7 linked regions of the Xenopus tropicalis genome follow. The protein of the gene in region 1 binds, or shares a complex with, the protein of each later gene. Links are inferred from orthologs where the notes say so. Each region holds a gene or a part of one and is shown in the gene's direction. Other genes may lie near its edges.

Region 1 (3,500 bases):
CTGAAGTTGCTTCCAGTAGCCCTCTTCCATCTACTTTTCTGCTAATTCACAATTTGGTAGCCTCCATGTGAAGTGGCAACCTACAAGATGCTCTATTTCAACCGCATAATTCTTCATTTGTAATGCATACTTTAAAGCAGTTAACTTACAGTACAAATATTAAATATGAGTTCTTCATTGTTATTGATACTGATGGGTTTTAGTTATTTAAAATCAATTATATCGTCTTTTTCAGAGTACATCCTCACTGGAAAGCAACCTAGAAGGTTTGGCTGGTGTCTTGGAAGCTGATCTGCCTAACTATAAAAGCAAGATCTTAAGAATTCTTTGTTCAGTGTAAGTATGACACATCTTTAGATATTGCCGTGTGTAGCTTTGGCTACTAGAGTGGTGTGTGAAGGATAAAATATAATTTATGAAGATTTAAGGGGGATGTAAACTCAAAATTATAAATGCTGCCTAATGAAAGAAATTGGCATTTAAAATTTATTTTTAATTGAAAGCTGTATTTGTCTGTCCTTTTCACATGTTGTTCTGAGTTTTGAAACAGAGTAGTAGATTCCAGATCTCATCCAGCCAAAGACCAATATTCTGAAAGTGCAATCCAATTTACAGGTATTGCAACTTTTGCAATTGGTCTTCATTTTTTACAGTTTTTGAGTTATTTGCTTTTCTCTTCTGCCAACTTTTAAATCAGGGTCACTGACCCTGGCAGCCAAGAAACATGTTTTTAAAAAGCTGAAATTTTATTGTTGATACACTAAAATAACAGAGAAACCACATATTTAAAAAATGAAGACCATTTGCAATTTGTCTTAGGGTAAAGACACACGGAGCTACTAGTTGCAGCTACTTTTTCATGGCTACTAAAGCCAGAAAATACTGTGAAATGGCTCTGTTAAAAATCAGACAGTTGTCAGTAAATGACCAGCATTGTCTATTTTTGTATCCATGACAAGTAACTGCTACTAGTAGCTCTGTGTGTCTTCGCCCTTAGGATATCAAGGTTTACATAATACTAATTTAATTTCAAGGCAAACTACCACTTTAATCACCTGGCTTTTCTTAGACACTTATTACAGTCAGAACCAGCAAGGCAATGAATAGCAAGATGTAGACAAATGGTGCTTTCAGTAGCAATTATATTTACAAGAAACTTTAAAACTAGTAAAAGTTTTATTGCTATAACCTTTTTAAGACCAGGTTGTAGCAAGAGGAGTGCCTTTATATCCACTAGTTTTCCTGGCAATGTAATAGCATAACATGCTACAATTTGCTTCTTACATTGTTGTCTGCTGAAATCATGTAGGTCAGGGGTTCTCAACCTTCCTAATGCCGTGACCCATTAATACAGTTCCTCATGTTGTGGTGACCCACAACCATAGAGGAGCGGTGTTTCGGTTACCTAAGACCATTGGAAATGGTTCCGATGGTCTTAGGCAACTCCCAAAGGCGTCCCGACCCACAGGTTGAGAACCACTGATGTAGGTGGTTATTACTGGAGTCACAGACTGTGGGGAATGACTTAAGGTTATTTTTTTTTTTTTTATGTCAAAGATTATTTTCTACAGTTTTAACCTAAAAATGCACAAGCAAAAACGAACCATTTCTGGCCATTTTCCCATAGGCAGCAGTGGAATGGAGGAGAATGGATGTGCATTGTGTTCTTAAAGGGATACTGAACACTAAATAAAACAAAATATTACTGTACATTAAAAGTTGCCTATAGGTCATGTTGATAGAGTTTGTAATGTTAACAGACTACTGCTGCACAAATTTGGAACCCTCCTCATAGAGGAACATGGGTATCAGATAGGTAATGTAAAAGCACTGAGCAAATACTTTTAAGGTAACATTATAAATACCACGCAAAGACAATGTTATGATAGATGTAAAAAGGGGTTTAATATATGCTGTCAGTATCTCTTTAATATGATCAACACAGTTGTCATAGACCTCAGATTTGCAAAACTGCTGTACTTATACCACTGCTTTTTTTTATGTAGTGCCCGAACGCTGCCTGAAAAAATGACTGTGTACACTACATTAGTTGGGTTACTTAATGCCAGAAACTACAATTTTGGTGGTGAATTTGTGGAGGCTATGATACGTCATCTCAAGGAGACAATTAAACTGAATGCTTACAATGAAGCTGTATATTTAGTAAGTGTCCATTTACTCTTAAATCTGTGTCTAGTTTGTTTTGGCAGTTCTTTTGCACTCTCCTGATGCATAGATTCAAACACTATGGGGGTTATTAATCAGTGGTTTTTTTTTTTTTTAAGATTTAAGTTTTTTGGACTAAAAGCCATGATTTTGAATAATGGATTAAAAAAACACAAGTTTTCAATAATTAAGCAAAAAAAAAAAAATTGTCGACCCATTAAAAATTCAAGGTATTGAATTGGGTAACAGCACTTTTAGCATTTTTTTTTTTACATGTCGAGGTTATTCAAAGTTTGAAAAAAAATTACAATTTGAACGTTGATAAATAATGCCTGTATATCCATGGGGATGCCACATTCTCTTCAAGACTCATTTGGTTCATTTGGCTTAAATGGTTTTTCTATACACCGAGAAATAGCATTGCATTTGGCATAACTGCTTTATTATTCTGAAAATATTTAATTGGGTTGTGACTCTTACACAAAGCCACTTTTATTTCCATATTAGTTATGGTGCATACAAACGGTACCTTCTTAAACACTCCTTTTTTTGTGTGTCACTTAAAGGAGAACTAAAATTATTTTAAAGCCCCTCATAGGTTACACCAATCACTTAACTAGACTCCCAAAAGGGGCCCCCATAACCTTGGTACTGTCCCTGACCAGGAGCATGCTTGCTAGCAGATGGACATAGGTCAGTCTTCTGTGGTTCAATTTTTCCTTGGCAGCTGCCCCTGTAGAGCCTCAGACAGGATGTGACCTGCACAAACATGATGGCCACCAACCCAGATTCATAATCTGCTTTGGGCGCACAGGAATGGGGGTCCTATTCAGGAGTTCGGTTGATGCAGTTGGGAGGGGCACTTATGAAGGCACCTAGGCTTTTTCAAATATCTTTACAGATAAATATCCAAGTAGAAAGACTTTTCTACCTATAATTACTTTTGAGAAAAAGTTGCAGAATACTGCAAATCTGATCCACAATTTTCACTTTCTAATGCTGTATTGTATGCAAATATCAGATTAATCAAGCTACTAATTCAGCCCGATGGATCTGACTGCCATCACACAATATGGAGGTATACATTAGGCCTTTGAAAAAAAATCTTGCATGCTAGTGGAATCTATGCTTCCAGGTAGCATTTTGACAAACTGAAAAATCTTTTGCAGTCGAGAATGTGAAATAATTCAGCCCATTAATTGATTTGATTGCAGTTGTTTTTGGATGCAGTATACAGTCAGTCACAACTGAAGAAGGCACTCTGAGTTTTCTTGAAACCGTTTCACCACTCAAAGTTTAGTTTTAGACTTAATTCTACTAAAAACTGTAGTCAC
Region 2 (4,273 bases), on another chromosome or scaffold:
ACAGTTTGGCGTTTTAGCAGGTATCTGGTTGCTAGGGTCCAAATTACCTTAGCGACCAGATAGCAGTTTGAATGAAAGGATTGCAAAGGAATAGGAGAAGGCCTGAATAGAAAAACAAGTTATATATAGTAACGATAAAACTGTAGCCTCACAGAGCAGTAGTTTATTGGCTGCCGGGGTCAGTGACCCCCATTTGAAAGCTAAAAAAAGTTAGAAGTAAACGGCAAATAGATTAAGAATTATAAAAAATAATGAAGACCAATTGATAAGTTGCTTAGAAAAGGCAAGTCTATAACATACTTAATAATAAATGCAGGAATTCCCATCATTGCTGCACACGGATTAAATGTGAGTCTCTTCCCTTACGGCAGGTTTCTTCGGAAAGCATACGTGACGTTCGATCGCAGCGTCAACATCAAGGAGATCTGCTGGAGCGTGCAGAATATCCGGGTATGTACCTTGCCCCGCGGGCTGCCTGCCATTGGCCGTACGGTCCTCCCCCTCTTATCCCATTGCCTTATTTCTCTCCCCAGCTCCGTGAGTGTGAACTGAGTCCCGGGGTGAACAGAGACCTGACCTATCGAGTGCGGAATATAAACGGCATAACCATGCACCGCCCCATTGTGCGCAATGATATCAAGCTGGCAGCAAGGCTGATCCACGCTCTGGATGAGAGAGCTCTGCTGTGGGAGGGGGAGCAGGGGGACCAGGTGAGACACACATTCGAGTTTCATTGGGTTTGAGAAGTCACAGGTTTAACCCCTACATTAGACCCCCACTCCATGCACATAAGGATATAGATAGATATAGAGAGAGAACTGTATAGACAAATCTACACATACCTATATAGTCCTATTCTTTTAGGGCTTTGGGGTGCTCGGTTGGACAGGGGACTTAGGGCTTTGGGGTGCTCGGTTGGACTGGAACTGAGGGCTTTGGGGTGCTCGGTTGGACTGGAACTGAGGGCTTTGGGGTGCTCGGTTGGACGGGGACTGAGGGCTTTGGGGTGCTCTGTTCTAACCTCTGTGCCTCTTGCTTTGCTCCATCATATTCAGATGGTTTCAGCCCAGAATCCCATTCTGAAGAACATCACAGACTACCTTATTGATGAAGTGAACGCAGAGGAAGAAGAGCTCTTATTTAGTGCGGGAAGGACCCCTGAAACAGAGACCCCCAAGGAAGGGAACCCCACAGAGATCAGCGTGGAGCGGGACGAAAAGCTTATCAAGGTACTGCCATTTGTCCCAGCGCCGTGTAGCTGTGTGTATTGGGCTGGTACTGCCTCCACGGTGTGTATAGATGTGTCATGTACAGTGCAGGCACGGGACCTGTTATCCAGAATGCTCGGCACCTGGGGCTTTCCTGATAAGAGATCTTTCCATAATATAGATGTCCAATGATTTAAGCTTACTAAATTTATAAAAAAAAATTTCCCCCTACTTAGGTGCTGGATAAACTCCTATTTTACCTTCGTATTGTCCATTCTGTTGATTATTATAACACATGCGAGTACCCCAATGAGGATGAGATGCCAACGCGGTGTGGAATGATGCACGTGCGCGGCCCCCTGCCCCCCAACCGCGTGTCACATGGTGAAGGTACAGACCCCAGATATAGACTCTGCTCAGTGCTTCTTGTCTTGTAGTCTTAGTACTTACCTGTATTGCACAGGGGGGAGGTATTCGGAGAGGGAAGGTGGGTATCGGTGGAGAGATACTCGGTACCGTTATACAGAGAGGGGAGAAATACTCGGTACCATTATACAGAGAGGGGAGTGATATTCAGTACCGTTATACAGAGAGGGGAGAGATACTCAGTAGCGTTATACAGAGAGGGGAGGGATACTCAGTAGCATTATACAGAGAGGAGAGGGGAGATACTCAGTACCGTTATACAGAGAGGGGAGGGATACTCAGTAGCATTATACAGAGAGGAGAGGGGAGATACTCAGTACTGTTATACAGAGAGGGGAGATGACTTTTCTCACTTGTGGGCCTCCCCCTGGCAGTGGCCGAGTGGCAGAAGACCTTTGAGGAGAAGTTGTCGCCCCTGTTTGCGGTTCGGGAGACCCTGTCTGAGGAGGAGGCAGTGAAGATGGGGAAGAAGGACCCAGAACAGGAAGTGGAGAAGTTTGTGACGGCCAACACCCAGGAGCTGGGCAAGGAGAAGTGGCTGTGCCCCCTCAGCGGCAAGAAATTCAAGGTGCGTAGATTATTTCAGTGATAGGACGACTGGGCCGGGGGCTCCTGTTATGGGTCCGGGGCAATGGATCGTGGGGCATTTAGGGGGAAACCCACTGGAACTAATTGCCCCTTTGCCCCTAGGGACCGGAGTTTGTGCGCAAGCATATCTTCAACAAACATGGCGAGAAGATTGAGGAGGTGAAGAAGGAGGTGGCGTTCTTCAACAACTACCTGATCGACAGCAAGCGCCCCGCCCTCCCCGAGGTCAAACCCTTGCAGCCGCCAGTTGGTACAGCCGGGCAAGGTAAGTGCAGGCAGGTGAAACCACTGTATCCGTAGCTTCCCTCTGTCTCACCCCCTCACTGTGCTCTTTGTCTCTCTCCTTCAGCATTGGCCGCTGGGCTGCTGTACCCCCACCAGGGACCCCAAGCCCTCCTACCTTACGCCCAGCCGCGGCCCCCTGTGCTGGGATATGCAGGTGAGTAGCCCTAGCAGCCATAGTCTGCCGTACTGGTAGGAATGATAGGCAAATGCTAGTATGATGTAGTGAGTGATATTCAAAGACAATTTGCAGTTGGTCTTCATTTTTTATTTGTAGTTTTTTTTTAGTTAACTTTTTGTTCAGCAGCTCTGCAGTTTGGCGTTTCAGCAGCTATCTGGTTGCTAAGATCCAAATTACCTTAGCAACCAGGGAGTGGTTTGGAAGAGAGACTGGTATATGAATAAGAGAGGGGGTGAATAGAAGAAGTTACAAAAAGTAACAATTACAATAAAACTGGAGCCTCACAGAGCAGTAGGTTTTTGGCTGCTGGGGTCAGTGACCCCCATTTAAAAACTGCAAAGAGTTGGAAGGCGAAAAAATAAATAAATATAACAAATAAATAATGAAGACCAATTGAAAAGTTGCTTATAATTGGGCGTTCTATGACATACTAAAACTTAATTTAACTGAATGTCCAACTAAGCAGCTGATCAGCCAGTTCTGCTTATTGCCTGTAGGTGGCGCCCAGCTCATAGTTATACATAGTTCTACTAGAGCTTGGCCTGACCTGCAGCCTCTGAGATGCCAACTCGGCAGCCTACTGGGCTGGGTCGGGCACCAATCCTGCCTTTGGGTCTAACTGTGCTTCTCCCTATAGGCGCGCCTCAGTTCCCTCCTACTCCCTACGGGGCTGGACGTGGAAATTACGACGCTTTTAGGGGCCAAGGGATGTACCCTGGAAAACCACGTAACAGGTTAGCGTTGTCTCTGCCTTCCTCCATTCTGCCTACGTGTCTGTCTGTGCCTTCACACTCTTCCTCTCCTCCCCGCAGGATGATCAGGGGGGACCCACGTGCCATCATTGAATACCGAGATCTGGATGCCCCCGATGATGTGGAGTTCTTTTAAATGCCCCGCCTTCTATTTTAGCCGCCTCCCTTTGTTGCACTTTCCCACTGCCGACCGTGCCCGCGCCATGCCAGTCCCTACGCCCCTCCCAAGGTTTATTTTGTAGCCGGTTACAGGACCTCTCAGCTGCGGCTGAACTTGGTAACGTTGGTCTTTTTGTTTAATAAACAGATGAACTCACTGCTGTGAGCAGCTTTTTAGCTCGGGTCTGAGATTATTTCTGGGTCGCGGCTGCTGTGTAAGAACCTGCCCGATGCGCTCGGGTTAAATGGTAGGGGGGGTGCACAGTAATTTTTAACCCTTCCCGGTCCTAGTTATTTGGATTCGGTTCAGGGGTTCGTCAGTGCATCCCTAGTAGCAATGAAGGAGGAACCTGATTTTACTATAAGGATTTACTATAGGAGGAGGAGTGGGGTCCTCTGGCTCCCATTGTGCATTGCCAACAGTTATACTTTCATTCATTCTTAGTTCTAGGCCAGTTGCCCTGGGCAGCACGGTATCCTTAGTAGTGATGTGCGGGGGTCAGCCTGGGACCCTTCAGTTCTGCCTCTCGCCTGCAACCCACTTCTGGGTCTATTCATAGGCACGTGCCTGCCCCCTCAGTGGTGTCATAGGTGGGGCAGGTTGGGGTCTATAAATAGACGTAAAGCTTGCGGGGGGGGGAATTGGCAGGTTTTGGTTGACCAATAGTCAACCCACC
Region 3 (3,500 bases), on another chromosome or scaffold:
ATACAATAGTTGCTAATATTCTACAGATGCTGATGTATGAACTAATATAGTAATTAGTTACTAACATAGCAATTGCTAACAGTTCAAAGTATGCACCTGGATTACTGAGCTTCTAGACTTAACCTATCACCCTGTAATTGGTTCCCCCATCAGAGGTGCAGGCTAATAGGCCCAGCATTTTGGTTGGGGAAACCAATGTTTTCCTTTTTTTTTTTTTTTTTTTTTTTAAAATACAGCCCCCGCCATTGCTAGGCTGCCCACACTGAGAGGGAGCTTCCAGAGTGGGTGGCCGCATCGTCTGCTGCGCATGCACATAATGAGTATGTCTCCCCACTCACTCATTATGCGCTTTTGCCTGATGTAGGATTGGTGGATGTGATTCACCCTCCTACGTCACACATGAGTTGCGAGTTTTGGCATCCACTCATTATGCACGTGCGAATGCCACAACATGGCTGCCAGCAGCTATTGTTTCTCTTAATCAGAGTGCAGGCTCTATTAGCCTACACCTTTGGTGGGGTAACAATTTAAGGGGGGTAGGTGTCCTTTAAACACCAGAGAGAGAGAGAGAGAGACAGGAAAGTTTAAACTTCAGTATTAGAAAAAGAGAACAAAGTACAGAGTAAAGATGTATATATTTTTATAAACTACTTCTGTGTTATTCTACACTAATTAGTAGAGATAGCACAATAATTTTCTCTAGTGTGTTGAACTGTGTATAACTATTTAGAAATTTGGCTCATTAGAATGAGTAAATCTTTTAATCCAGATTTATTTTCTTATGTACTTCTTTTGTACCTTTTCCTTCCTAATTTTTTTCCCCCCTCATTCTAGTTTTGTCAGCCCGAGTGAGCGAATGAGAGATCCTGAGAGAGAAAGCGAGGAACGAGAGAGTGAGAGGGATACTCGTCGAGGAGAGAGGGAACTTTTAGAGAGAGAACCTTATGATAGAGATCGTGGAAGAGAGCGAGATCGTGACCGGGACAGAGAACGAGATAGAGACCGAAGTGAGAGAGACCGCGAAAGAGATCGTGAAAGGGACAGAGATGGCTTTTACCGCAGTAATTTGCCACTTTTTTGATTTTTACTGAAGCAGAGGGCTGGAATTATAGCTCTGCTATTCATCTTAGCTTCCCTTTGCCTAACTTCCTTACCAGGTCTTCATTTACTAATGATTTAACCAGTGCCTTTGTCATGCATCCTGTAGGATCAGATTCATTCCCTGAACGTCGGGCTCCAAGGAAAGGTAATACTGTTTATGTTCATGGTGTGGGCATGAACCAGACAATGCTTCGTGAGGCTTTTTCCAGCTTTGGGAACATTATTGATCTTTCTGTGGATGCTCCAAGGAAGTAAGTAGGCACTGTATGGACCTTACTAGTGTGCTTTTAGGCTGGCAACCTTTTAATTTTGGGGGCCTTTTATTCCCAGCTGTGCTTTTGTTACATATGAGAAGATGGAGTCAGCTGACCAGGCTATTTCAGAGGTGAGTTTTGCTGCATGGTTTCCTTTTACTGCCTCCTTTATTCCATTTGATACTGCTATTCTTTGTCATTGTCACTTTGGAGTATTAAACACATAGAACTGAAAAAATGGGATTTTGTTGTTTTTTTTTAAGCCGTTTTTGTTTTCTCAGATTTTTAGAAAATAAAGATTGGGCTCTTTATTTAAACAGCAAGGCTTCTAAAACTGTGCTATGCAGTGTTGTATGCTTCACTAAATGTTTGCTATAATTATCTGCTTGATTGTTTGCTATGATAAGTGTTGGAGGCCTTAAAGGAACAGTAACACCAAAAAATTTAAATGTCTTAAAGTAATTAAAATATAATTTACTGTTACCTAAACTGGTGTGTTTGCTTTAGCAACACTATTATATTTTATATAAATACCCTGCTGTGTAGCTACAGGGGCAGCCATTCAAGCTGGAAAAAAGGAGAAAAGGCACAGTTTTTATAACAGATAAGACACCATTGTATTCTACTGAGTTTATCTGTTATCTGCTATGTAACCTGTGCCCTTTCTCCTTTTGAATGGCTGCTCCCATGGCTACACAGCAGCTTATTTATATAAACTATAGTAGTTTTTCTGAAACAAACACACTACTTTTACCAGTGCAGGGAAATAGTACATAATATAATAATTATTTTGATACACTTTCATTTTTTGGTGTTACTTTTCTTTTAAAAGTATATCAAACAGCTATACTTTGAGAAGTTTAACCTCATGCCCCTATTGGGTCAAATTCCTTGAACCTCTGTAAAATTTGTTCTCACGTCTGAACTGAATTCTTCTTCTTCTAATTCAGCTTAATAACAAGGTGATAGAAGACATACCAGTGAAGGTTAGCATAGCTCGCAAACAGCCTATGTTGGAGGCAGCCACAGGAAAATCAGTTTGGGGTTCATTGGGTAAGTTGTAACTTTATATGTAAATGTTTCTCTTGCAATTTCTCTACAAATATAGTCATAAGGCTGCAGAGCTACATTATGGACTGCTGGTGAAAGGGACAGTACCAGCATGATATTGCTTTTACAAGGCAAGCTGTAGAAGGCAAGAATCTCTGCAAACCTGTAGCACCCGGTGGAGGTGGAATGTGGACTGCCTATTTACACTAAAGGGCAATTCAGAAGTTAATAGTGCAACCACATGGGTGCTCTGACAGCACAGGCAAAACAAAGAAGACTTAACCAATAAGAAAACTGTCCCCTTCTGCCCTGGATTGGTACTTAACATTATATAGTAAAATGTCACAGATTTATCTTCTGTTTTTCTTTTCCTTCACAGCTGTACAGAACAGTGTTAAAGGTTCACACAGAGATAAGAGGTCTCAGGTCAATTACTCTGAAGATTTATTTAGCGATGGTCAAACTGATGCTGATAAAAAGCCAGGATAAAGAGAAGCGAGGAGAAAGAGAATATTAGGGCCCAAGATCTCTATGTGTACATGGTACACATGGTTGAGGATGGTAAATAAAGTGACCGTTGACTATTTAAAGAAACAAGACTGTGCTTATATGCTATGCCCAAGATTTTTTTTTTTTAACTATAATTTAAAATGGCTTTTCAGTTATTTGTGGATATGTAGGTTACTGTTTGCATTGTCCCTTTAAATATGTACTCTACATTCCTGTAATAATGATTTAGTGACTACTTTCTACTAATTGGCTTTATCTCAGTTGTTTTGGGCACATTTACCATCTCAGCATGCATAGAGTATGCCAATAGACACAAGGAAGGTAAATAAAATTACTTGTATAAGGTACAACAGGAGGTATTGGGACCCAAGTTATTTCTTGAGTATCACAGTAATGGTATATGTTTTGTCACATGTAACAGCCTAAATTATAGACAACCTTAATATAACACTTTCCATTTCAAACTGGAGACTTGCTAGAAAAACTCACACACTCAACTATATTTTTCAGATGTGGTTTATCACTTAAGAACATATAAGTATGAGCTCTTCTGCTGTCTCAGCAGCACTGCAGCATGACTTAGAA
Region 4 (4,245 bases), on another chromosome or scaffold:
AATGTATGCCCGTCTCCCTATTCTGACTTCAGAATAACCCTGCTTACATACACTGTTGCTCTACCAAATATACTAAGCTCTGTTAACTCCCCAAGCATTGTGCTTACAGTATTAGACTTATTATTCCTACCAAAAGAAATCCTGTTGCCTACATACACAACTATTGTTTCCTCCAGTGCTTTACTCAGCTGGTATAAAGAATTGAAAATTCAGGATATTCCCAAGTGTCTAGGGGTAAGGTTCATTATATTGTGGAACCCAATAATGACAACCAGATTAACCAGGTTGTTAATAATGAAGCTACTCCTGGAAAAACAGATAACTGACATGCGTGTTATTGGGCATTCTACATCCAGCGGGACCCCAGGGCTTTCCCCATTTACAAGCAAAGTACAAATTATGAACCATCTACTTTCTCAGGGTAAAATAAAAAAAAGAGCAAAATCAATGCTTTTAAACACAAATGTATACATTTATTTTGAAATCTTCTCTAAAAGGCACCTTGTCACAAGCTGACAAATTCTAGCTCATTTACCCACACAGGGCAGTAGTAGTTATGAAATCCAATCAAATGTTTGTTTTCAAACTTCAGTTTGCAGCTAACAGTTACCCACTGACTGGTTGCTATGGGTAACTACGCCCAGTGATGGAACTGATGTGGGAGGCCCTGGATATTGCTGTAGTGCCAGGGCAAGGTAACCAGCTGCCTCCGTGTGTAAGTGGGCAGTGTGTGCGGCTACAGTTTATCATTATTTCCCTTCTCCCCTTTTGATCTGTTTCTTGGCATCCTGCAGCCCAGTCCGGAACTCCCTGAGGAAAGTGTCCTTAATGCGCTCCGCCTTGCGGCCCATCTCCCACATGTCCCGGGGGGGCCCAGCCCTGCTCGTCTCCTGTCGGATCTGTCGCACAGTGTCGGAGCGCAGGATTCTCTGGGCCGCGTCCTTGCCGCTCAGCTGAGCCTTGGTGACAGCGAAGGCAGTGATTTGCGCTGCTCTCCGTATGGGCCGGGACTCGGAGAGTTTCTCTATCAGTTGGGGGTTATTGAGCAGAGTAAAGAGCAGTCTCCTCAGAACCATTGTGCTAATTCAGTTTCGCTCTCACAAACACCAATGTCGCTTAATTCACTATTGAGCCATACTGCCGCTCTGTAAGATCCGCCACCTACGGCAAAACGTACAAATGCTAAACTGGGCAGAGGTGCAAATGAATTATATCGCTGCGCCCCACCATGTATAAAAAGCAGTCCCGGCTATCGGCTACACTCGCTCCATACTCACTCACTGCTCGATAGACTGCACTTGTGCGCCGCTCTCCGCCAATCCCAATTCTCACGGTCACCTGCCTGACCTCACTATAGTTTCCGGTTCACCCGGATACAATATTACACTGCTGCTCTGTGATTGGTCCTTGTGCGGCTTAATGGGCGCCACTTGGAGAAGATTAGTGAGGAGACTGTAGCTTCTGTAAGGAAGAACCGACATGGCTCTGGGTGCCCTAAAGAGCGACTCGTACGTGGAGCTGAGTCAGTATCGGGACCAGCACTTCCGGGTGAGCTGCCGGCGGCACCTACCTGTTTGGGTTGGGCGGGCTGTGCCTGTTAGTAGTGCTGTAGGCAGTGGGGGCACGCATTCTGCTCAGAACCAGCCTCCTTTGTCTCACTGGCCGGGATACGAGCTACAGTACCAGCGGGATCTGTGTGTTGTTCTGTTGCTTCATTCTCCCCTACTGCAATAATCCCTACTTGAGAACTCTATTGCCGGTTTCTAATCCTGTATCATGTAACACTGGGGGCTCACACTCAGTTCTGGACTGGGATTCAAAATAGGCCCTGGCATTTTAAGTTCAAAGAGACCCAAACAGCCCTCACCAGCCCCTCTGGTATTTGCCAGAACCCACAGATTGCCAGTCCGGCCTGTTCATAATAACTCATTATGGGCATCTCTCATATACCCTATGAGCTCCTGCTTTCCCATGCTGGTGTGTGCTTCTCTCTTAAGGTCCCCATACACGGGCCGATAGAAGCTGCCGATATTGGTCCCTTGGACCGACTTGGCAGCTTATCTGCCCGTGTAGGGGCAGAAACGAGGGGCCTGGCCGACCGATATCTGGCCTGAAATTGACCAGATATCGATCGGCCAGGTTAGAAAATCCAGTCGGATTGGGGGCCGCATCGGCTCGTTGATGTGGCCCCCGAACCGACTGCCCCATGGCCGCAACTGTAATCCGATCGTTTGGCCCCAGGGCAAAACAATCGGATTATTTTTTTTTAAAGCTACTTGCTACCCGATATCGCCCACCTGTAGGTGGGGATATCGGGTGAAGATCCGCTCGCTTGGCGACATCGCCAAGCGAGCGGATCTTATAGTGTATGGGCACCTTTTAGTTTCTGTCATCTAATTGGGTATGTGTCACACACTTCCAGAGGAACCAGAAGGTAGTTTGTCTGAACGTATTAATGTACTTACCTGCTTTGAGGTATCTGCAATAGCATTGGCTTGAATGACCTGCCAGCATGGAGTGACTTGATGTGGCAGTCAGGCTTAAACTGACATTATTGCATTATAGAAGTTAACCCAGGTTAAGCAGGCAATTATTACAAAACAATCTGTGTTGATAAATGCATTGAATAATTAATTGTATGAGAACTAGATGATTTTAATGATTGTGGCAGGGCTGCCTCTAAAGACTGTGAAAGTTTATTTTTTTTTAATAAGAAAATAAGGATGCAGTTTGTCTTCCAAATAATCACTAATTATGTTGATTTGTTTATATTACAGGGAAACCGGTCTGATCAGGAGTGTCTGCTAAAGCACAGTTGCACCTTGTATGTAGGAAACCTGTCATTTTATACAACAGAGGAACAAATCCATGAACTGTTCAGCAAGAGCGGCGATGTTAAAAAAATTGTTATGGGGCTCGATAAGATTAAGAAAACAGCCTGTGGATTCTGTTTTGTAGAGTATCCTTTTTATATATTTTTTTTTTTCAATCCTTTTTTTTTTTTTTTTTGCCCACTTTTGAGGAGGACCGGGTATATATAAATGTAGCCCACCCCTAGGTGTGGCTTGGATACTAGCAATACGACTATGTTGATACCCCAAAGATTTCCCACTGTATACCAACACAAGTAAAAAGTAAACCTGTATTTATTATACAAGACGGGGCGGAAATAAATTGGTAGTTAATGCAGAAAATAGAAACAGAAGGCAATAACAAAATGTAGTGAAATGCAATATAAATCGTTTAAATTCACACAGGAATTTAAATTTTACAAGGTAAATAGACACCTAATATGTGATGTATGGGTGTTTGGGAGCTCCCCTTTAGTCCTAAAAGCCAGCAATGTTGGGGCCCTTAACTTCCAGGATGTCTAAGCTATGTTTTATAGCTTTAAATGCAGATCTCACTTCCAAATTCTCATTATTAAACTAGTGTCTTCGATGGGCTGGATTGCAGTCTGTGTCTGGGAAATCGCTGTTCACTCTTTTAGCACACACACCCCTTGGACTTTAATGGTAATCTCCAGCAGATCCCCACAGTAATTTCCCTTAAATGCACTTCCTTCCAGTCCCCACCAGTTATTTTTTACACTTTTCTTTCTGTAGAACAGGGCTGTCTAACTGGCAGCCAGTGCCCCCCCTCCCTTTGTAAGAATGTTATCAGTACTGAGATTAACTGGCTCACTGCATCATTCACACCTCATGTTCAGGCTGTAATCCCCCTGTATTGTTTAAACATTTAGTCCCCTATACTGTTTACCCCTTTTAGGGTTTGCATTGTTTACCCCTGCATTGTTCACACTCAAACTGTAAATGCACACATTGTTCACCTGTTCACACCTCAGTATGAGCATTGTGTCACTGTATGTGTCTGGGTGTGCCATACTCTGCCTGTGTGTGCCATACTCTGCCTGCCATATGGGAGGTGAACCTGGCAGGGGCTTGTTCTGGGAGTTTGTTAGCAGTTGGAAATAGTCATTATATGGTCCCTAAGGTGTGTAATTATGTGCTGGGGTTTGCTGTGCTATCTACAGGGGAGTAGAAGCCATATAGATTTAAGGGTATGTCTTGATATAATATAATTCTTTCACATATGAATGAAGTGTGATATACCTACACCAACCATTTGGGTTTTTGCTGTGCTACCACCATTAATGTGGGCATGGTCTTAAAAGCTCTTGTGATAACATGGGTGTGGTTTGAAGTGGGTTCAGTTTAAAAAAGGGGAGTGGTCAAAACTTGGCTT
Region 5 (4,272 bases), about 61 Mb from region 1:
AGTTGTGATAACAGAGGTTAGCAGTCCAGGTGGCCAGATAATACATAGGGGCATATTTATTATAGTGCATAAGCCAACATCACTGGTGATATTGCTCATAGCAACCAATCAGAAATTACAGTTGAACGGTCACCTAGAAGTTAGAAAATAAAAACAAAAAGATCTGATTGGTTGCTATGGGCAACATCGCCAGTAATGTTGGCTTAAATACTATAATACATTTTCCCCATAGACTTGCTGTAGTACAGGGGTTGCTAATAAGGTTGCTACCTGGCTGGTATTTTCCTGGCCTGGCCGGTAAAAATAATGCTTGGTGCCAATGATATTAATCGAGAAGATAAAAACTATAGGAGGGCCAGAATTTTTTTTCCAGAAAACATGGCAAGCCTAGTTGCAAATGAACCCAGAATGTAAAATTGCTTGACCTTCAGGACCTAAGAAATAAATATTTTTAAACAATTTCACAGTCTGACAGGTGGGCAAGCACACAAATTAGCACTTAAGGCTGATGCCACACGAGGCGTAGGGCTGATATTTTCGGCAAGCGGAAAAACGCTTGGCGAAAATTCAGCCCTACGCCTGCTACTTGTGCCTGCACCCGAATGAATGGAATACGCTGTATCGGCTATATATCGGCTACATGTGCCTGCACCCGAGCGTATCCCATTCATTCGGGTGCAGGCACAAGTAGCAGGCGTAGGGCTGGATTTTCGCCAAGCGTTTTTCTGCTTGCCGAAAATATCAGCCCTACGCCTCGTGTGGCATCAGCCTAATATTATGGATGCTGGCTAATGGCAACACCCAGGGTCAGACTGGGGGGTGCAGGGCCCCTGCCAGCCGCGTCCCCTACCCCCCCCCCTGCCGGGGTCCCCCACAGGTTCCCCACACCTGATGTCCTCCCCTGAGCGTGTGTAAGTTTAACGCGTCAAGGGAAAACCGGTCGGGCGGGGGGGCGCTGACCCTGGCAACACCCATCACCCTTACTCCCAGCAAGCCTGCCTGTGAGATGTCTGCACACAGCAGGATACACCAGGATAGGGGGCCCATAAGAACTCCTTTTTATCTGGGATAACTTTGGGCAGAAACATCCTGCAGAGATGGCAGACCCCTCATTGTAATCAACAGGAAGAACTTTACATAATAGTTATTTTAAATTATTTGCCTTTATTCTTGTAGCATCACCTTTTTGTAACGTATCTGCTCCCGGGGCTATTGGTCCAGTATGTCCCACTTGGTTAGCGTGTCTAGTTTAGTAAATAAATGTTAATGTAAATGTAATGTAATGTAGTAAGTACAGACCATTTTCTTCCCTGCCTGCCTTATATTGAAGTTGACATGCTTGAGTTTTATTCTGACACAAATTTCCGGCCAATGGGGGCCCGCCTATTAAACCTTAAAGTGACGTATAGTTAGTAACCTCGCTAAAAACCCCACGGCCATTAATAAGTACAATTTCCAACAAGCAATGAGCGAACAAGCAGTTCACTTCCGAGGCGGGACGGTAGGATTGCCCATTCCAATCATGGCAGATCGCTTACAATGGGCTCTCGGCTAGGTCTCGCACTCTCATTCGGCCCCTGAGTTTTCACTTTCTCAACGTATTTCCGTATCCGGCTGGGTATCATGGCGCTAGATGCAGCCCGGGAAATGATGGAGGATGAGGGCTTGGAAGACGGGGAGCTAAGCGGCTCTGACACAGACATGAGAACGTCGGGAGTGGGGAACAAAGGGCAGCAGGTAGAGGGAATGCCGGCCTGTGGGATAGTTGAGGGCTCCCTGTGGCAATAAGTAAAGCCAATGTGTTAGACGTGATGTTCCATCTGCTATCATGCCTCTACCCTGCAGTCTGTGGTAGCCATACCTTGCCGGAGCAGTAGCCATATAAGGCCCTGTTGGGCGATATACCTCCCCATGCTTTTATATATCCATTGCTGTCATTTTATTTTCTCACTTTGATGTCAGAAATTCCATAGAGTTGTGGCACATAATAGCATTTGCTGATATAATGGAAGTTTTAGTTTCTTTAGTTGTTTCTTGGCATTGCGAAATGTAACCTTTGCTGTACTTACTATTGAAGCATGGTGCAGTGTTTTGTTTCCCTGCAATTTTCTATCGTCCATATTAATGATGATTAGTTTAACCCTTTAGTCTTGAAATCTCTGATATTTCTGTTTCTGCTAACACATAATATTGATTAGTTATACTTTTTGAAAGGCATCTTCCATTGAACTGATTTTTTATATTTTCAGAAAACAGATTTAATCACCACTTCACTCAGTTACCGGAGTAATAGTACCCTTTCAAATAATGTCCCCTACCGAACGACTAAAGGTCTGGACTCGAGTGAAGATAGTGCATCTGATTCTGATGATGAAGATGGTTCTTCATGGAAACGTAAACGGCAGAAGTGTACCCACCCAGCCCCTAAAATGGCCAGACCTCTTCCTGTACTGCAGGGCCAACAAAGGCCTATTGGCACGGGGGGTACAAAGCGTAATAATGTATGGGGAGCTGTCCTTCAGGAGCAGACCCAAGAGGCAGTGGCAACTGAACTAGGTATTATGGATATGGAAGGCCAACTGGATATGAGTAGGCAATCGGAGACATATAATTATATTCTTGCCAGGAAACTGATGGAAAAAACAGAAAAGGAGGAAGAACTGAAGCTGGACAAAGAACTAGATGAGTACATGCAAGAAGATAAAGAGTCTGCACCAAAAGAGGAAAATGGGCACCTCAAGAGGAAACGACCTATTAAAGAAAGACTGGGAGAGAGGTTAGAAATGGATTACAAGGGCAGATATGAAATAACTGAGGCTGACTCAGAAGATAAAGTCTCTGATGAAATTGCCCATAGGTAAGATTGCAGAGCTGTTATCTGCCTTAGCATTGTAGTATTATGCTTGTAATGGTGGCTCTTGCATTACCACTGTCAAAGAAAAATATTCTAAATACTTTAGTACAGGGATGTTGGATCACAAAATAATGAGACTTAGGGGCTGATTTACTAATCCACGAATCTGAATCCCGAATGGGAAAAAATTGGATTGGAAACTAACATTTTGCGTATTTTCGTATTTTTTGCGACTTTTTCATAGCCATTACGACTTTCGTGAATTGTCGCAACTTTTTCATAGCCATTACGAAAAGTTCGCGAAAAAGTCGCAAAATACCGATCATTACGAAAAAACGCATTTGGGCGCTTTTCGGACGTTCGTGGATTAGTAAATGTGCCTCTTGGGGTAATAAATGCAGTAAGTGCTAGGATACAGCTGATTTAGCATTCATCTCACAGGGTACTATAACTGTCTGCAAGCTGAGTCCCTGTGGAAGGCAGCCACAGATTATTAGACAGTTAAAGTAAAGTCTGCCAAAATAAAGTTAAAAGTTCTTCTAATGTTAGTGCAGTCAAGCAACCTTCTTGTTGCGGTTTGTGTTTTGGCCAAGTAAATAAACCCAAGTTTTCCCTATGTAACTAGACAAAAAAAATGCGGTTTAAAAAGATATATATCCATCAGGATCAAATTTTGTAATTTCTTGTTGATCCAGAGGAAGGCAAATATAACATGTGAAGTTTTATCTGAATTTCTCCATTAGGCTATTGGTCCAGCACCTGGGTTAAGGTTGTACTAAGAGGTAATTTGAGTAACCTTGTATTTTCTAGCAAAAGGTATCCATTATTTTCTTGAAACTATCTAATGTATCTGCCAGTACAACTACTTTATGAAGAGAGTTCCAGAAATTCACAGGTATCGCTTTGGCTAGCTTGTTTATGCTCTTGTTTGTATTGGAGGTCATAGGGGCCCAGGAAGACTGGGAACTTCATCAAAGCCTTTCAGCATAAGCATGTAAAGAATAACTGAGGTCTAAAGAATGAGGGAGTCTAAAAAAATGTTATCATGGGAACTATAAAGTTCCAGTTACACCACTGCCCATTACTAAGGGGTAGTATCAGACATATCAGAGGGCAAAGGAGGAGCACTGCTGGGAATTCTGATAAAATAATCTGATGATCAGGTACAAGAGGGGGGTTGCTACCACATACTACAGACTTTGTGTAATGGCTTTCCTTGTTCTTTAAGAATGACATGCTTAGTATTCTGAAACAATCTTTACAGAATACATATTGTGACTAGGTGTTGTCAGGCAAGACCATAGAATGTAAATAGTTGTTAAAGGAGAATAAAAGCCTATAAACACTATGCTCCCTTAATGGGCCTTCCTTCTGAACTGTATCACTGCAGACTCCTAATACTGCATTATTTGCCATAC
Region 6 (3,500 bases), on another chromosome or scaffold:
GTTTTATTTTATTTTCCCCCCTTACACTGGGGACTGGAGTTCCAGAGATTAACCTATTATCCACTGTCTCTTCAGGGGAGAGAAATACGGCTTCATAACCTATCGGCATTCGGAGCATGCAGCCTTGGCTCTACAAAAAGGAGCCTCCCTGAGAAAACGGAGTGAGCCCCCTTTACACTTGAGCTATGGGGGGCTCAGGCATTTCTTTTGGACCAAATACAATGATCTAGGTAAAAATATTGACCTGTTGACCATATTAGCATTAGTGCAATAGGCCCTTATATTTTAAGTACACAAAGGCCCAAACCACCCCCACCAGCCCACTAAATAGTGACTGTCTATGGCATCATACAGCAGCCCCTCTGTAGCCTTATTCTACACTACTGTTATATCTGAACACCAAGTAATTAGCACCACTATGGCATACATAGGTCATTTTTACCTAACTTTAACCAGGTCTATGTCCTGCTGCCATGGCTCATTTTCTTATAGAATGTGCAAGTGACGTTCTTCTACAATAATCTCATTCGAAGGCTTTCCCTGAATACGTTGCCTGGCTTCATGCACCTTCTACAGTGAGATGCAAAAATCAGCCTGCAGACTTAGGCATGCTGGGAATTACAGTCCTCAGCAACTGGAGTTCTAAAGGCTTCCCAAACTTATATGAAAAGAATGTTATTACAAAAGTAACCAGACCAAGTGATTATGACATACTGAACTCTCTGAGACATTAGGATGGCTTACGCTAGATTAATATTTCTCTTTTCTCTGTTTTAGAGTTGTAGACAGAGTCTTGCCATAGTTAACCCCTTGTTGTCCCAATCTTATACAGATTCAAATGCAGTGGAGCCTTCATCAACAGTAAAAAAGAGTAAATACGAGTCAATGGATTTTGATAGCTTGTTGAAAGAGGCACAAAGAAGCTTGCATCGATGACAGCCTTAACCCCATTAGGAGGAGCACCTCAATACCTCAAGTCAAGGCACTTCCCCCTATGTTTACGTTTTAAAGAAAAAAAAACAAACAAAAATGGAATACAGAAACAAAAAGACTTTATCCTTTAAATTGATGTTTACATTGAACAAAGCTGCTTCTGTATGTGATTTTTCTCCATGGTGTCGCTGTCTCACTGCCACAGTTTAGTATACTTGCTTCCCGGGTGTGTCTGTCGTCGTCCCGTCTCGGCCTCTTCTCTTTCCTGTTGTAATTGCAGCTGCGTTCTCCATAATATTTTGTCTGTAGTGCGTGTAAAAGAAAAGAAAAAAAGTCAAAACCATACAAAAATGCAATGTCATTTGTGACTAGAGTCTAAATTACAAACTAATTTTAATAGGAGAAAGATGTATATTCTTAAATGAAATGATGTATTTATGGTTCACATGTACTGTATTTCAGATTGATGTATGCTTCATTTTGAACTATGCACTGTAGTGGGGTGTTTGCAAAAGATCAAAAATGTAATCCTCATACACTAATAGCCATGAACCATTACTGGGCATTACTCTAAAGCTGAGAGACCGCAGGGCTTTCATAGAGTTACTACGGTGGGGAAGAATCACGAATATCTATTGGTAGCAAAACAGAGTCTTCAGAGTCTTTCGCAACTGAGGTCACGGAATCTTCAGGACTGAAAACTGCATTTTAACTTCTTTATAACTTTTACGTTTTTAAAAATATATATATCTCACACATTTTTCTTTAACAGTCTTTATCCCAAAAAGTATTTTTAAAACTGAAATAGCAAGATGCAAAGAACATATATTGCAATGTCACTAACTGGTAGCCAGCCCCATGTATTGTGGTTGTTATTGAGTGGCTTCTCTTACCCGTTTGTGTCTGTGTCATCCTTGGGAAATCATAAAGTACAAAGAAATACATAAATATAGTTGCAATCATAATATATAGCATTTGCTGTGCCTGTTTTAAAGGGATGATTAACCTTCAGGTTAACACTTAGTTATAAAACTATTTGCTTTTCTTTTCTGAACTTTCCAGTTTTCGAAGGGAAGGGGGGGGGGGGGGTCACTGACTCCAGCAGCCAATAAACTATTGCTCTATGAAGCTACAGTTTTATTGTTGCTGTTACTTTGTATTACTTATCTTTCTGTTTAGACCCTCCTTTATTCATGTTTCTGTCTCTCTTTCTAACCACTACGTGTTTTGCTAGGTCAAACTGGACCATAGCAACCAGATAGCTGCTGCAATTTGAACTGGAGAGTTGCTGAGCAAATAGTTAAATTCAAAAACTGCAAATAATACAAAATGAAGACCAACTGCAAATTGTCTCAGAATAGCACTCTCTGCATTATACTAAAAGTTAATTTGAGGGTAAGCCACCCCTTTAAGACCATAAATTGTCTCCACATGGCACAGAATGGACTGATGCAGCCTAAACCTAATGGGTGCCAAAAGCATGAGAGCTACAGACAGGTGACAAAACACTGAACATTCTTGTTAAAACCTTTGAATAACTAGTGCATTCCCATGCCGCTGTCACTTTAAAGCAATCGGTTTTATTGTCTTCTAACTGACAGTGAGGTTATATATCAGTTTTGTAAAATATATAGTTTTTATTCTGTGTAAGCACTTTCAGAGACACCTTATGATTTAACCTAATTGCTCAGTTTAAGCAGTACAATGTACTACACATTTCCCAAAATGCATACAGCCATAAATATCCTCCTATACAAGTGCTGAAGAGAGTGGCCACATTGTCTACGCATGGTTATGTGGGGCTGTATAGCCTAATAGCCTGTCCATTGCTGATTTTCAGCCAAATTCATGGCTCATGGAGTTGGATATTTGTTTTAAACTCTCATTAAATGCATTACATTTAAAAAAAAAAAAAACAAGTCCTGAACATAAACAAGACGAGAGTTACTTTTCTGTAACCAAGGGACGGTATGGTTTATTATGGTATTTGAACTGTTCAGTCTGTCATGCACAGTATGATATTTGCTCCAAAGACAACCATGACATAGTGGACGCCATGTTATCCTCTTGCTAGCAGGGAATGCATGGGGCCGCTGCTTAAATAACACGTGGAGGTCAAATATGCGGCCTTCAACGCCCATTGTATCCTAAAAGCTGCAGGTTTCATGTCCCTGTTGTAGCACACAGCAATACTCATTTGAATGCTGAACAAATAACACAGAGTTGGGGACTTTCAGTCTCCCACCTTACAGTTTCAGCTTGTCACAAAAAGCCATTGTTTCCTCTGACACAGATGTGTTAGGGACTAACCATTAATGTCTGAGAATTGGGGCTACTAGCTCCAGTTAGGATTTCTTGAATATTTAGCAGGGTAGCATAGAATGTAGGATTAAGCCATTATGCGTAGTTAGCCTTACTTCTAGAAATAGTCATAGCTGGGATATTTTCCGGTTTCATATTCTGCCAAAGTTTCCAGCAGCACCCATAATCCCTTGCAAGGATTATAACTTACTCTTTGGCAAACACCTTATCATAGCTCTGCCTTTTTCTATCATTGTATTCCCACA
Region 7 (3,500 bases), on another chromosome or scaffold:
AGTAGTAACAGTAATACCAAAAACTAAAACTATAATATACTATTGCCCTGTACTGGTAAAAGTTGTGTGTTTGATTCAGAAACACTACTAGAGTTTATATAAAAACCCTGGCATGTAGCCATGGGGGCAGCCATTCAAAAATAGAAAAGGCACAGGTTTGGGCCGTGGTAGACGGGGAGATTTGTCGCCCGCAACAAATCTCCCTTGTTACGGGTGACTAATCTCCCTGAAATGCCATCCCACCGGCTTGAATGTAAGGGCTCTGGCACACGAGGAGATTTGTCGCCTGCGTTTTTTCCCCCTGGCGCTTTGGCGACAAGTCGCCAAGACGATACCCACAAAGAGATTTCATGCGAGTTGAACTCCAGGCGATCTGCTACCCATGGTACCACTCAACAGTTACCCCTCCCTCATGTTTACTCAAGTCGTTCAGAAAAGGGTCTGTGTGCGATTTGAAACAGCAGGCGATTTGAAGTAGCCTCGTATGTTTTGACGCTGGCGATTTCCATTGATTTAGCATTGGCGTCTTGTCGCCAAATCACTCTTTTAAAAATCGCCGGTGACAAATCTCCTCGTGTGCCAGAGCCCTAAATTGCCGGTGTAGTCTTATCTGGTATGTAACCTGTGCCTTATCTCCTTTTTTTTACAGCTTAATTGGCTGCTCCATGGCTACAGATCAGCTTATTTTTATAAACCTATAGTAGTGTTCCTGATGCAAATACACAGTGTTAGGGCTCTGGCACACGGGGAGATTAGTCGCTCGCGACAAATCTCCCTGATTGCGGACGACTAATCTCCCCGAATTGCCATCCCACCGGCGACAATGTAAGTCGCCGGTGGGATGGCACACGCTGTGCAGACGATTTCGGCAAATCGCCGAAGTTGCCTTGCGAGGCATTTCCGGCAATTTGCCGAAATCGCGCCGCCGCGTGTGCCATCCCACCGGCGACTTACATTGTCGCCGGTGGGATGGCAACTCGGGGAGATTAGTCGCCAGCGAACAGGGAGATTTGTCTCGGGCAACTAATCTCCCCATGTGCCAGAGCCCTTAGGGCTATGACACACAGGGAGATTAGTCACCACGCAACAAATCTCCCTTGTCAAGGCAAATTGCGGTGCCGCATATGCCTTCCCACCAGCGATTTACATTCTAGCTGGTGGGATGGCATTTCGGGGAGATTAGTCGCCCGCGACAAGGGAGATGTTGCGCGGCGACTAATCTCCCTGTGTGTCACAGCCCTTAAGGTATGGTGATCTAATTACTGAAAGACCCCTTATCTGGAAAACCCCAGATCCCAAGCATTCTGGCTACCAGGTCCCATACCTGTATATTATAACAGTGCAGAGAAACATAGGATTTATACAGAAGCCATAGTGGTTATATAATGCATAAAGTACCCCCTATTGTAAAATGCAATATTATAAGTCACGAGGCCAAAGGCCGAGTGCTTTTATACAGGTCATGGAACTCCAAAGCTCAGTCTTAATTATATTCCAGGTCAGTGGAGATTTTAGGAGCAATCCTGGGCTTTTTTTCCAGAATTCCTTCTACTTGCATACCAGTAAGGACATCTCTCATCAACCATAATGCTTTTTTAGCTAAACCACTTCCCTGGCTCTATTAATGCTGATTGGTAATTAATGCCAGTTTGGTAATCCAATCCGCATACTGACCAGCGTGTGCTTTAAAACCCAGTGAGTAAAGGTCCCCATACACGGGCCGACTATAGCTGCCGATATCGGTCCCTTGGACCGATTCGGCAGCTAATCGGCCCGTGTATGGGGAGAGCAGAGCGGCCAGATCTCGATCGGCCAGGTTAGAAAATCCAGTCGGATCGGGGACCGCATCGGCTCGTTGATGCGGTCCCCGATCTGACTGCCCCATTGCCACCCACATAATCCGATCGATTGGCCCCAGGGCCAAACGATCGGATTATTTTTTTTTTTTACCTAAATGCTCCCCGATATCGCCCACCCGTATGGCCACCTTAAGGCTTATTATCAAGGGTTTTCCATGTAAATGACAATTTAAGGAGGAATCTTGAACTTTTATCCCAAAATTCCTTCTGCTTTGCGTAATAATGAGAACATCTCTTGTCAACCGAAATGCTTTTTTTTTTTAATTTTTGGGTGACCACAATAATAAAAGAGCCTATATTTTTTAATGTTAGACCAGTTATTTTTTATATATCATAGGGTTCTATAGATGTGTATGCACATGTACACATGGGGGACAAGCAATTAATATATAAATAAATGTAAAAATGAGTTTATTGTTTTGCTGCATTTTGTTATACATTTTTTATTTACTTGACCATGTGTTGCTATATTCCAACAGCCAGATACCCTTTCCGAAGCTGAGCAGGCATCTTTATTGAAAAATGAGCTCCGGCCTTCTAGTAAACCAGTGAAAGGAAATAGTCTGTACATGAGATTTGCCACTAAAGGTAAGGCATTATTGTCCTAAGCAACCACAGGCAATTTATTTTTGTTTCTGAATGCAAAGTTTCACTTCTTATTTTACTGATTTAGTTCTGAACATGAAAACAATCAGTGTTTTCCTCTTACACAGCTAAGCCTGCCCCTAATGAGTTTGGGCTGACCTTGGCATATCATTGAGCATGTCTGGCAAGCCAGAAATCAAAGCAAATTCCCGAGGCGGGGGGGGGCGGGGTTTACAGGAGAAGAAGCAAATCTAAGTGATTAAAGGAACAGTAACACAAAAAAATAACTTTTGACATATCCCTTCTAAATACTTTATTAAGATATGTAGCATTTAAAAAAATTCAATATTCTACATGGTTTCAAAATAAATTACATTACCAATGCCTTACTGTGCAGAGCTTGAAAAGGCGATACGGCGACTTCCGGTTTAATCCGTTTTGTGTGATTTATGGGCTATTAGCAGTTGGGGCGAGGAGAGGGGATTAGAGACATACCGTTTCTTCTTTACAGATAAGTCTGCATCGCTGTTTGAAGTAGCGCTGTGTGTGCCTGCATGAAGAGGGAGGGGGGGGGTGGAGGGGGGAGCGGAACGGAAGCGTGGTGCGAGAACTGCTGCCTGCTCTCTATAAATCAGTGCTAAAGTAAGATTTCTAAGAAAAACTACTACTGCTGTTGAAATTTTTGTATGATATATTTGATAATGAAAGTATATAGAAGGGATATTTTGAATGTAAAAAAATTGTGTTACAGTTCCTTTAAGGGGATGCTGCAGCCTTACTATTAACCTCTGGACAACCAGAGTAGCAGGTATTGAAAGATTTCCAAGAGGCTGATTACATTTTCACTGATTTACATTTTTGTGTGTGGGGTTTACATGTCCTTTTAAAATGCCTTTAAAATGTCCATTTTCTAATTTGTACCTTTTAATGGACTCTCTGGGTATTTCTCCTCTTTCTTAGGAGGACAGACACCAGGGGGGTTACTTGTCCTCTTTCTTGAGTGGCAGGGCACTAAATGAACAATTCACATACATGGCCATGCAATGTTCTATCATT

Evidence for each region.
Region 2: the proteins of ncbp1 (region 1) and srrt are in contact, whole or in part, in a cryo-EM structure (PDB 8PMP), measured with the Homo sapiens proteins. The link is inferred for Xenopus tropicalis from reciprocal best matches to the Homo sapiens genes NCBP1 and SRRT. Residues at the interface, in NP_002477.1 of Homo sapiens: Tyr461, Gln463, Lys511, Lys557, Ser558, Ser560, His561, Ser564, Ala567, Lys568, His570, Lys607, Ile609, Arg610, Thr611, Gln612, Met648, His651, Glu705; in NP_056992.4 of Homo sapiens: Asp857, Pro858, Arg859, Val862, Glu863, Tyr864, Arg865, Asp866, Leu867, Asp868, Ala869, Asp872, Asp874, Phe875, Phe876.
Region 3: the proteins of ncbp1 (region 1) and nelfe are in contact, whole or in part, in a crystal structure (PDB 5OOB), measured with the Homo sapiens proteins. The link is inferred for Xenopus tropicalis from reciprocal best matches to the Homo sapiens genes NCBP1 and NELFE. Residues at the interface, in NP_002477.1 of Homo sapiens: Tyr461, Lys511, Lys557, Ser558, Ser560, His561, Ser564, Lys568, Ile609, Arg610, Gln612, Cys616, Lys647, Met648, His651, Glu705; in NP_002895.3 of Homo sapiens: Arg362, Ile365, Val366, Tyr367, Ser368, Asp370, Val371, Tyr372, Gly379, Phe380.
Region 4: the proteins of ncbp1 (region 1) and ncbp2 are in contact, whole or in part, in a crystal structure (PDB 5OOB), measured with the Homo sapiens proteins. The link is inferred for Xenopus tropicalis from reciprocal best matches to the Homo sapiens genes NCBP1 and NCBP2. Residues at the interface, in NP_002477.1 of Homo sapiens: Glu32, Cys36, Leu71, Thr74, Val75, Arg77, Leu78, Leu79, Ser324, His325, Trp326, Lys327, Glu328, Arg329, Lys330, Ile368, Val370, Met371, Thr374, Glu378, Asn415, His419, Ser422, Asn423, Gln425, Lys455, Arg458, Leu459, Ser460, Tyr461; in NP_031388.2 of Homo sapiens: Gly4, Leu5, Leu6, Lys7, Leu9, Arg10, Ser11, Asp12, Ser13, Tyr14, Glu53, Glu54, Gln55, Tyr57, Glu58, Leu59, Lys62, Ser63, Asp65, Lys67, Ile69, Tyr89, Asn96, Arg99, Tyr100, Asn102, Gly103, Thr104, Arg105, Leu106.
Region 5: the proteins of ncbp1 (region 1) and phax are in contact, whole or in part, in a cryo-EM structure (PDB 8PNT), measured with the Homo sapiens proteins. The link is inferred for Xenopus tropicalis from reciprocal best matches to the Homo sapiens genes NCBP1 and PHAX. Residues at the interface, in NP_002477.1 of Homo sapiens: Cys380, Lys381, Pro384, Pro388, Gln389, Leu391, Ala392, Thr395, Phe417, His420, Leu421, Asn423, Phe424, Gln425, Arg427, Trp428, Ser429, Asp432; in NP_115553.2 of Homo sapiens: Ile114, Asn115, Asn116, Ile117, Trp118, Gly119, Val121, Leu122, Glu124, Gln125.
Region 6: the proteins of ncbp1 (region 1) and ppargc1b are in contact, whole or in part, in a crystal structure (PDB 6D0Y), measured with the Homo sapiens proteins. The link is inferred for Xenopus tropicalis from reciprocal best matches to the Homo sapiens genes NCBP1 and PPARGC1B. Residues at the interface, in NP_002477.1 of Homo sapiens: Glu26, Asp29, His30, Ser33, Leu34, Lys37, Val38, Lys41, Ser42, Ala43, Cys44, Asn49, Gly52, Leu53, Val56; in NP_573570.3 of Homo sapiens: Tyr1006, Glu1007, Ala1008, Met1009, Asp1010, Phe1011, Asp1012, Leu1014, Leu1015, Lys1016, Glu1017, Ala1018, Gln1019.
Region 7: the proteins of ncbp1 (region 1) and ncbp3 are in contact, whole or in part, in a cryo-EM structure (PDB 8BY6), measured with the Homo sapiens proteins. The link is inferred for Xenopus tropicalis from reciprocal best matches to the Homo sapiens genes NCBP1 and NCBP3. Residues at the interface, in NP_002477.1 of Homo sapiens: Lys330, Ile377, Glu378, Cys380, Lys381, Pro384, Pro388, Gln389, Ala392, His420, Asn423, Phe424, Gln425, Arg427, Trp428, Ser429, Glu431, Asp432; in NP_001107590.1 of Homo sapiens: Glu572, Asp574, Glu576, Leu577, Gln578, Ala580, Trp581, Gly582, Leu584, Ile585, Lys588, Glu589, Arg592.

Annotation. Positions count from the first base shown.
Region 1 is NC_030677.2:107,416,976-107,420,475, forward strand, and holds part of ncbp1 (nuclear cap-binding protein subunit 1), read left to right. Parts: intron 1-235; coding exon 236-336; intron 337-2,006; coding exon 2,007-2,163; intron 2,164-3,500. UniProt on the Homo sapiens protein: Component of the cap-binding complex (CBC), which binds cotranscriptionally to the 5'-cap of pre-mRNAs and is involved in various processes such as pre-mRNA splicing, translation regulation, nonsense-mediated mRNA decay, RNA-mediated gene silencing (RNAi) by microRNAs (miRNAs) and mRNA export.
Region 2 is NC_030679.2:151,511,792-151,516,064, forward strand, and holds the end of srrt (serrate RNA effector molecule homolog), read left to right. Parts: intron 1-371; coding exon 372-450; intron 451-533; coding exon 534-710; intron 711-1,055; coding exon 1,056-1,229; intron 1,230-1,444; coding exon 1,445-1,598; intron 1,599-2,008; coding exon 2,009-2,202; intron 2,203-2,324; coding exon 2,325-2,487; intron 2,488-2,571; coding exon 2,572-2,661; intron 2,662-3,322; coding exon 3,323-3,573; 3' UTR 3,574-3,773; downstream 3,774-4,273. UniProt on the Homo sapiens protein: Acts as a mediator between the cap-binding complex (CBC) and the primary microRNAs (miRNAs) processing machinery during cell proliferation.
Region 3 is NC_030684.2:74,052,615-74,056,114, reverse strand, and holds the end of nelfe (negative elongation factor E), read left to right. Parts: intron 1-834; coding exon 835-1,081; 3' UTR 1,082-1,207; coding exon of another isoform or gene 1,208-1,352; 3' UTR 1,353-1,431; coding exon of another isoform or gene 1,432-1,486; 3' UTR 1,487-2,305; coding exon of another isoform or gene 2,306-2,408; 3' UTR 2,409-2,784; coding exon of another isoform or gene 2,785-2,894; 3' UTR 2,895-3,267; downstream 3,268-3,500. UniProt on the Homo sapiens protein: Essential component of the NELF complex, a complex that negatively regulates the elongation of transcription by RNA polymerase II.
Region 4 is NC_030681.2:106,058,488-106,062,732, reverse strand, and holds the start of ncbp2 (nuclear cap-binding protein subunit 2), read left to right. Parts: upstream 1-1,445; 5' UTR 1,446-1,479; coding exon 1,480-1,548; intron 1,549-2,777; coding exon 2,778-2,959; intron 2,960-4,245. Other genes in the region: protein NCBP2AS2, read right to left, coding at 750-1,076. UniProt on the Homo sapiens protein: Component of the cap-binding complex (CBC), which binds co-transcriptionally to the 5' cap of pre-mRNAs and is involved in various processes such as pre-mRNA splicing, translation regulation, nonsense-mediated mRNA decay, RNA-mediated gene silencing (RNAi) by microRNAs (miRNAs) and mRNA export.
Region 5 is NC_030677.2:168,322,561-168,326,832, reverse strand, and holds the start of phax (phosphorylated adapter RNA export protein), read left to right. Parts: upstream 1-1,472; 5' UTR 1,473-1,623; coding exon 1,624-1,737; intron 1,738-2,249; coding exon 2,250-2,857; intron 2,858-4,272. UniProt on the Homo sapiens protein: A phosphoprotein adapter involved in the XPO1-mediated U snRNA export from the nucleus.
Region 6 is NC_030679.2:44,011,391-44,014,890, forward strand, and holds part of ppargc1b (peroxisome proliferator-activated receptor gamma coactivator 1-beta), read left to right. Parts: intron 1-75; coding exon 76-230; intron 231-832; coding exon 833-936; 3' UTR 937-3,500. UniProt on the Homo sapiens protein: Plays a role of stimulator of transcription factors and nuclear receptors activities. Activates transcriptional activity of estrogen receptor alpha, nuclear respiratory factor 1 (NRF1) and glucocorticoid receptor in the presence of glucocorticoids.
Region 7 is NC_030678.2:48,502,625-48,506,124, forward strand, and holds part of ncbp3 (nuclear cap-binding protein subunit 3), read left to right. Parts: intron 1-2,338; coding exon 2,339-2,447; intron 2,448-3,500. UniProt on the Homo sapiens protein: Associates with NCBP1/CBP80 to form an alternative cap-binding complex (CBC) which plays a key role in mRNA export. NCBP3 serves as adapter protein linking the capped RNAs (m7GpppG-capped RNA) to NCBP1/CBP80.